2 linked regions of the Mus musculus genome follow. The protein of the gene in region 1 binds, or shares a complex with, the protein of each later gene. Links are inferred from orthologs where the notes say so. Each region holds a gene or a part of one and is shown on either strand. Other genes may lie near its edges. The genes, in order: Mus81 and Eme2.

Region 1 (3,618 bases):
CTGGAGCTGGCTCAGAAGCTGGCCGAGGCGGAAGGCCTGAGCACTCGGCACGCTGGCTTTAGGCCAGAGGAACATCACGGAGAGGACTCAGCAGTTCCAGAAGCCTTGTCAGAACCGTAAGAAAAAGAAATGGGGGCAGCCATACCTTTCTCCCTGAGACTAATAGCTGAACCAGTTGCCCCTGGGATTTAGGGGAACTACCCTGGCACTGAAGGTTCTGGCCTTATGCATAGCCTCCATTCCATTATAGTGGCACCACCGAGGGGGCCGTCCAGCAGAGACCACTGGAGCTAAGGCCTAGCGAGTACAGAGTGCTGTTGTGTGTGGACATTGGCGAAACCAGAGGGTAAGGAAATAGGGGAAACTGTAAAAACGACTTGAGGATGCTGGAATGTGGCGAGTGCTGGCTCACCCTGACTTGGCCTTCCTTCTTGAAATATCAGGGCAGGACACAGGCCAGAAATGCTCCGAGAGTTACAAAGGCTGCGTGTGCCCCACACCGTACGCAAGCTACACGTTGGAGACTTTGTGTGGGTGGCACAGGAGACCAGGCCCAGAGACCCAGGTAAAGGGTCTTGGATAGACAAGGGAGGCTGGCCTAGGTAGAGACAGGGAAGGCAGGAAAGCTCTTCTTGGTTTCTCCGCAGAAAGACCTGGGGAGCTGGTCCTGGACCACATTGTGGAACGCAAGCGGCTAGATGACCTATGCAGCAGCATCATTGACGGCCGCTTTCGGGAGCAGAAGGTGCCTTAGTCAGCCTGCCTCACTCCTTGCTTACCTCAACATAGAAAAGCTCCCGGGTGGCCTCAAAGCAGAGCCTCCAACCACACCCACTTGAAGCCCCTTTTAAGCCATGCAGGTGCACAGTTGAAAAACAAAGCTATTTCAGTTGGCTGGAGAAAATTAAAGAGCCCTTGAGTACCTAGCCCTAGAGATCTTATATAAACAAGAGGCAAACCTCTTAAGGTTAGAAATGCAGAGTCTATACCCAAGTCCCAGCAACAGGACTAACCCTAGGGGTCACAGAGCACAGTAGGCCAAGGGAGGTTTGGAGGAAGTATGATGTCCGGAGGTTCAGGGCTTTCCTACAGGACCAGAGCCTAGTGTGGTGTTGCTTTTAAGATATGAGAGGTGCCAGGCAATGGTGGCACATGCCTTTGATCCCAGCACTTGGGAGGCAGAGGCAGGGGGATTTCTGAGTTCCAGGACAGCCAGGGCTACACAGAGAACTATGTCTCAAAACAAGCAAAGGATGTGAGAGAGCCAGTAAAGATGAGGATCTGGGTCCCTTGCAGTGTTAATGTGTTACTGATGGCTAGCCTGGACACGTGGGCATTTGGGCCTAACCACACTGCTTCTACCTGCCTTCCTAGTTCCGCCTGAAGCGCTGTGGCCTGGGGCACCGGGTATACTTAGTGGAAGAACATGGGTCTGTCCACAACCTTAGCCTTCCCGAGAGCACCTTGCTGCAGGCTGTCACAAACACCCAGGTGAGCTGGGAGGACAGGACCAGGCTGGCAGATTTTACAGACCATGGCGCAGGCCAGGAGCTCCCTTCCTTGTGTCTTCTTCTCCAGGTCATTGATGGCTTTTTTGTGAAGCGAACCATGGATATTAAGGAGTCGGCTGGCTACCTGGCGCTTTTGACAAAGGGCCTGGAAAGACTGTACCAGGTGAGCAGATGCCTCTATCCAGAACTGGACCCTTGCCTGGTGTTTATTGCCCAAGCAAGGAAAGGTGGGGTCCTAGTTCTTCAGGCTTCCTACTGAGGCCTGGGAAAGGACTAGCTGGGGCTTAGTCTTCAGAGCCTACCCTGGCCTCAGTCCCCTCTTCCATCAGGGCCACACCCTACGCAGCCGCCCTTGGGGGGCCCCAGGGGCTGCTGAATCAGAAGCAAAGCCTTCCACAAACCCTCTCTGCTCACTCCTCACCTTCAGTGACTTCAATGCAGAAGCTGTCAAGAACAAGGTACCACCCCTGCCTCACCTCTGCTCGGGTGGCCTAGGCCAAGGTCACCCTTAACACAGGCCTACCCCAACCCCAGGCCCAGTCTGTGCGAGAAGTATTTGCCCGGCAGCTGATGCAGGTGCGTGGACTGAGTGGGGAGAAGGCAGCAGCCGTGGTGGATCGATACAGCACCCCTGCCAGGTACGCCCCAGAGAGCGGCTGAGGGCAGAGTTCACCACAACCAGTGCTCCTGGAGACTGAGCTTGGCTCTGCGTGGGCACCTTGGCAGGCTCTGTCCCAGCGTTTCCCAAGGAGGGAGGGAGGGGCTCTTAACACCAGAAACAGGAAATGTGTCGTGTTTAAGATTCCTCCACTCTAGGCTAGACCCCTCCTGCCTTACCTCTCATGTCCTCATGTCTCCTAATGCTTGCCAGATAATCAGCCTTTATATGCCCTACCCCCAGTCTCCTGGCTGCTTATGATGCCTGTGCCACCGCGAAGGAGCAGGAGATGCTCTTGAGCACCATCAAGTGTGGGCGTCTGCAGAGGTACGGGTAGTTATGATCTGGAGAGAAGACTGGGTCACCTGAGGCACCAGGCTGACCTCCTCCTGACCTGTCTTCCAGGAATCTGGGACCCGCTCTGAGCAGGACCCTGTACCAGTTGTACTGCAGCCACAGCCCTCTGAGCTGAGCTGTACCAGGAGACGCTCGCTCCCCAGCACCCATCTTCATCTCTACCAAGGCTGGCTAGCCTTTTAGCTGAGATCCCCTGGGCTTTAATAAAAATCTGGATGTGTGTGGTCTCGGCTGTTAAGGAAGCAATGCCAAGGTCCTTCTGAAATCTACAGGGGTTGGAAGACTACACTGCTGAGCCAACTGTTGTGTGTGGTGGTGCTAGCAGCGGAACCCAGAGCCTCACACCTACTAGGCAATTCCTCTTCCAAAAAGCAATGATCCGCAGCCCTGTACAGTGTCCTTACCCATTCCTAAAACCAGCTTGGCCTAAAACTTGCTCTGTAACCTAGTCTAGCCTAGAACTCCCAGTTTTTCTGGGTCTACCTTCCAAGACCTGAAATTAAAGGTGTGGGGCACCACACCATGGTTCTTTTTAAGGCAAGCTCCTGGGCTAAACATGGTTGTGCACACCCATGTTTAATAAGTACTTACATAGAGCCAGACCCTAAATATGGATGGCTGGATAATAGATAAACACTCCTTAGGGGCTGGGAATGCCCTGGTCAGAGAGATGGGGTCAATAAGGCACTGTATGTTTGAGTGTAATTAGATGGCCCCCGGTCAAAAAGTTTCTCAATCCAGCTGCCTCATTCTAGTGACTGGAGACCAGAGGCTTGTACAAGTGCAGAGCTTGGGGTAGAGCTAGGATGCTAACCCCAAACTCCTAGCACTGACCAGAACATGGTTCCTGGGCCCAGTATCAGCCAAGCTCTTGAGTGAGGACCTGAGGTACATACTCTTCAGAACTCCCTGCTCAGGCCTTTTTTTTTTTTTTTTTTTTTTCTTCCTCCTGAGACAGGGTTTCTCTGTGTAGCCCTGGCTGTCCTTGAACTCTGTAGATCAGGCTGGCCTCGAACTCAGAAATCCACCTGCCTCTGTCTCCCCTGAGTGCTGGGATTAAAGGTGTGCGCCACCACTGCCCACTGCTCAGGC
Region 2 (4,554 bases), on another chromosome or scaffold:
GAGTAGCGACCTATACCAGGGCCCCAACCCTAGACCGTCCCGATTCCCTTCCCGGATCCACCTGCTCCTTTGTGCGCCCACACCTGCACTAGCTTCAGTGCCACCAGCTTGAAGCCCTTCCTCTCAAAGCGACGCACGATCTCGCCCACCAGCCGCCGCTGCACGCCGTCGGGCTTCACTGCCAAGAACGTGCGCTCGTTCACGCCGCTGTAGGCTGCGGGAGTACTGGCTTCAGGCATGCCCCACCGGGCGACCCCCGCCCGGCCCCGCCCGGGTGCTCACCTGAGGGGAAGAGGTTAGCAAAGATGGTCAGCACCAGACAGATCATGGCGGCGGATGGGGCGGGCCAAGCGGCAAGGGGGCGGGGCCTCCCTTAAAGGACCTCTTGGCGCGGGCTCTCCTGGGGCTCTGCAATCCCAGCACATTTGAGCCCAAAGCGCAGTCTCGGCGCCCAAGTCCTGCCTGAGTGTGCGGGAGCACCTGCTGCTCTGCTCCATACCGCCACCTTTCCTCCCTTGTCCTGCGGTACACATGTAATGAAACCACAACACAGGCTGTTTCCTGGCGTTTATTTCCAGACCGAGGAATCAGAGAGGGGCCCGCCTGAAAATGACACCAAGCAGCCTGTCATCTGCCCCATTATTCATTGCCTGATGTGTCAGGGCTGTAGGATATAACTCGCCACCGAAGTGAAGATCTAGCACAGTCAAAGGCACTCGTCCATCAAATGACTCACAGGACCTCTCTGCCAGTCCTGGCAGTTAGACTGGGGTGCCCTTGGCCCTCCCTTTCGTCTCCTGTTTTGCAGGGTAGTCCCAGGGGCGCATTCGAGTCCTCTCCAGGTTCAGGAGCGGCTCCTGGACGCTGGTATCCCCGTTTTTCTGCCGTTCAGCGAGGATCATGGCTCGCAGCAGAGGTGGATAGGGGACAGAATTCAATCTGTCCTCTGGTTTCGCAGTGAACGCAGTGAAGGCCTCCTCCTCGTGCTTGGGTACCAAACGCCAATCGTGGTACATGACTTGCTCGATTTCCCGAGCCGTATCCTCACTCTTCCCTGAAGGAAAGAAGACAAGCTGACTGCCTGCTGGCTGGATGATATGAGAACCATCCCCGGCTCCAACCAGCATCCAGCCTTACCTTTGAAAGTCAGGATGCCCCAGGCCCTCCCGTGGTCCAAGTTCTGCAGAACAAGAGGGAGGATTGTCAACATGCAGCCCCTGCCACTAAGTTACGTGGGTAAGGGAGACATACATGCCCAGGTGGCTCAGAGTGGGTGAAACCAGCCGATGTATAGTCCAGGGTGGGCAAAATGAAAGTGGAAACAAGAATGGGCAGTACAGGAAGCTAGCGCACCTGCGCCGTGTAGTCGGGCCTCACACGCGTGAGGCGCCAGTAGCATGGCTCGTCGTGCTGCCACAGCCAGGACTTGCGGGTAACCAGACGGCCCAGGCCGAACAAGGGGAGGCGGGCGAGCAGCTGTAGGAGGCGGCTCTCGCGACGCACGTCGGCCCAGGCGCGTACCGGCAGCCGGCGACCGGAGTGCGGCCGGGTCAGCGTCTCGTAGTCTAGGGCGTAGAGCTGCGAATCTCGCGGCTGGTTCCGCTGCTCGCGCAAGGCGCGCACGCGGCGAGCCAGCTCAGCGATCAGCCGGGGTCTTACTTTCTTCCGCGCCATGTCAGTGTCCTTACTCCACAGGAAATCTGCGCTTCAGGAGCTCTCCCGTTCCGGAAGCGGCCGGTGTCCTGAACAAAAGCATCCGGGTACGTCCGGAAGCTTCAGGAACGAAGGACTTATGGCGGAGGTTGGTCCCGGGAGAGTCACGGTCTCGCGTCTCGGTCGGGGCCTGCGTCTCGGCCATCGGCGACCTCAAACCTGGGAGATTTCCGACTCAGACGGTGAAGGTGTCCCCGCTAGGGAGGTCGGCACGCAAGCCCCGAGTCCAGCAGGAGAGCGCAGAGCTGCAGCCAAGGCTTTACGGGCAGATCAGGTTCTGGGGCGACTGGTGGTGTGCGTGGACCCAGGTGAGGGGACGGGGGCTGGGAATCTGGGGCCAGCCACCAGACAGGGTAGCGTTGTCACCCACTAGTCCGCACTGGAGATGGTGGAATAACTCAATGTGCCTGCTGGGATCCAGCTGTCCTGGAAGATGCAGGCTCTGACATCCTGATGGAGGCGCTGGGCACGCTAGGCTGTGAATGCCGCATCGAACCGCAGCACCAGGCCCGCAGCCTGCAGTGGAACGTTGTCAGGCCCGACCCGGCCCCCAGCAATGTGAGTGTCTCCCTATGACCAGCCCAGTGCCAGTCCTAATCCATGTTTCACTTTTCCTCTGGCTAGCGAGGTAGCACAGGAGGCGAAAAAAACTGAAGGATGCCTAAGTCGAATTTCTTAACACAAGAAACCTGAACTCAGCTGCTGCCAGATAACCTCCTGTTGGCAATGAGGATGGGAGTTGGGCTAGTTTTTGTATTCAGGGACTTCTAGGGAACAGACCCAACTGGCCTGAACTTCACGGGAGCTGGAGGGTTATTGATAGTGTCTGGTGACTGACTGGCCAGCACAGGGAGAAGCCCTGGGCTCACACTGGTGGTTAGCAGGGCAGCTGATATCCCCTATAGGTGCCTCTGGAGGCGAAGGCTGAAAATGAGCAGGAACAGTTGCTGCTGCTGGAACCCCAGGAATTTCTTCAGGGTGCTGCGCAGCTGACCCAGGTAATGGGGAAAAGCCCTATCTTTATTTGATGGGTCTCCTTTGACAGTCTGGGATGGGATGGAGCTTCTGTCGAGGATCATCAAGGTGTTGAGGGTGAGATGAGAAAGCCTGCTGCGTGCTCCAGACATCAGAGCGTTAGAGAGCCTTTAGGAGAATAGTGACCTGACTGCAAACTGGCCAGGCATGGAGGAGGAACTGAGAATTCTAGCTGATGGTGTCTGTATAATGTAGGCACTGGCTGTGGGCTCTGTCTACAAAAGCTAATAATCCCTCACTTGGCTGCTTATATTCCCTAGACTTAAAGGTAACAATGCCCAACTGGTATTTGCCTAGAGCACAGTTCTGCTAAACGCTTTGCAGGTGTCGCTGTCCAAGGGCCAACGTTTGTCAAACACATGCTGGGTAACATTCCCCTGGTACAACAGTGGCTATAGGCCTGCCGTCAAAGCCCTCCTGTGAACAAGTATGGGGATATTCTTGCTTTCAGATCACAGATCCACCTTGCTCCATCCCCTGGCTTTCTCCCAAGAGTCTCACCCGCTCCCATCTGGCTGTCATTGGACTGGACGCATACCTGTGGTACCACTTAACCTCAGTAGGGCTGGCTTGGGTGGGATTCCAGGAAAGTGGCTTGCCTCTGGTGGCTCTGTCACAGCTAACCCCACTTGGCCTGAGTTGGCTCTGCAGAGGTAGGAGACTCTGGAGCCCAAAAGATCATCCCCTCTGTTCAGGTCTCACCAGCTCAGTTCTCAGAAGACATGGCAACTAAAGAAGTCAAAGGAAGCCCATGCCAGGGGAGCCATCAGCTGGGCTGAGGTGGAGGAGGTGAGGGCTGTGTGGAGTTGTTAGGTGCCTTGCCTTTGTCTCTGCACTTGGCTGTAGGCTGGCCTGTCAGAACTGGCCTTAGTTCCCAGGATCACTGGGCTGGCATTCCCCAGAGGTCATGTGGTCCGTACCCACTCTCACACTCCCCAGATCCTGGTGCTGCTGCAGCTCCATGCAAACCTGGATGTGCTGCTGATGGCTTCGTGGCAGGAGCTGAGTCAGTACGTGTGTGCCTTCACCAGGGCCCTCTCGCAGCTCCCCTCGAAGTATGCATCTCTGCAGGGGCCGAGTGGACACAGGCCAGGGTCGGAGGGCTGCACAAATGGGGTTCTCAAAGCGTCTGTCTGGGTGTCATTTCAGGCAGCACCGGGACTCCCAGGCCTTTTCTTTCTGCACAGCAGGGCACTGGGCCTCAGGCCAGCAAGTGACCAGAGATGGCTCTGGGCTCAGAGGAGTGTGGTGGCGACAAATCAGACAGTTCAACCGGGTCAGCCCAGCTGTGGCTGACGCTGTTGTTACTGCCTTCCCATCACCCCGCCTTTTGCAACAGGTGAGTCCCCTAAATCCCTCCTTCCAGGATCAGGACTTACCGTCCACCCCTTACACTTGTGCCTACTCCAGGCTCTCCTGGACTGCAGCACAGAGCAAGAACGCCTGAGCCTCCTAGCTGATCTCCCTGTGAAGGCCCACAAAGGCAAGCAGCCTCGCAGAGTGGGGCCTGACCTCTCACGCAGAATCTGTATCTTCTTGACAACCACCAACCCTGACCTCCTGCTGGACCTGAGCTCTTGACCTGTGCCATCCTGGGGTCACCTCCTGCCCATCAGTACAACAGGACAAGTCTGCCTAAGAATCTAATTATTCTGAGAGGCAGGCAAGGAGGTTTGGGTCCAGCCCATACCTTTTCAGACTGTGGTAGATAGACTCTGTTGCCTGATGGTCAAATGGAAATACCATGGGAGGTGGGTGAGAGGGTAAGGGAAGCTGAGGTGAATGGAAGAGTGGAGGGTAGTGGCC

What was found.
Region 2: the proteins of Mus81 (region 1) and Eme2 are in contact, whole or in part, in a crystal structure (PDB 7F6L), measured with the Homo sapiens proteins. The link is inferred for Mus musculus from reciprocal best matches to the Homo sapiens genes MUS81 and EME2. Residues at the interface, in NP_079404.3 of Homo sapiens: His330, Glu351, Phe354, Lys357, Arg358, Arg363, Val365, Glu381, Leu385, Gln386, Thr389, Asn390, Gln392, Val393, Ile394, Phe398, Lys400, Arg401, Tyr411, Leu414, Leu415, Arg417, Gly418, Leu419, Arg421, Leu422, Pro447, Ile464, Lys467, Ala468; in NP_001244299.1 of Homo sapiens: Glu140, Arg177, His179, Glu220, Glu221, Val224, Leu225, Gln227, Leu228, Trp229, Asn231, Leu232, Asp233, Leu235, Arg245, His246, Ala249, Val250, Lys252, Ala253, Leu254, Gln256, Tyr257, Lys260, Gln261, Glu264, Gln266, Phe268, Phe270, Cys271.

The regions. Positions count from the first base shown.
Region 1 is NC_000085.6:5,481,986-5,485,603, reverse strand, and holds the end of Mus81 (crossover junction endonuclease MUS81), read left to right. Parts: coding exon 1-116; intron 117-250; coding exon 251-346; intron 347-443; coding exon 444-565; intron 566-647; coding exon 648-745; intron 746-1,374; coding exon 1,375-1,491; intron 1,492-1,578; coding exon 1,579-1,674; intron 1,675-1,840; coding exon 1,841-1,969; exon of another isoform or gene 1,970-2,045; coding exon 2,046-2,149; intron 2,150-2,382; exon of another isoform or gene 2,383-2,412; coding exon 2,413-2,496; intron 2,497-2,574; coding exon 2,575-2,641; 3' UTR 2,642-3,043; downstream 3,044-3,618. UniProt on the Homo sapiens protein: Catalytic subunit of two functionally distinct, structure-specific, heterodimeric DNA endonucleases MUS81-EME1 and MUS81-EME2 that are involved in the maintenance of genome stability.
Region 2 is NC_000083.6:24,892,288-24,896,841, reverse strand, and holds the start of Eme2 (probable crossover junction endonuclease EME2), read left to right. Parts: upstream 1-1,754; 5' UTR 1,755-1,792; coding exon 1,793-2,021; intron 2,022-2,134; coding exon 2,135-2,271; intron 2,272-2,618; coding exon 2,619-2,711; intron 2,712-3,199; coding exon 3,200-3,291; intron 3,292-3,443; coding exon 3,444-3,537; intron 3,538-3,687; coding exon 3,688-3,803; intron 3,804-3,897; coding exon 3,898-4,087; intron 4,088-4,158; coding exon 4,159-4,329; 3' UTR 4,330-4,554. Other genes in the region: Nme3 (nucleoside diphosphate kinase 3 precursor), read right to left, coding at 84-214, 283-328; Mrps34 (28S ribosomal protein S34, mitochondrial), read right to left, coding at 762-1,054, 1,138-1,180, 1,354-1,674. UniProt on the Homo sapiens protein: Non-catalytic subunit of the structure-specific, heterodimeric DNA endonuclease MUS81-EME2 which is involved in the maintenance of genome stability. In the complex, EME2 is required for DNA cleavage, participating in DNA recognition and bending.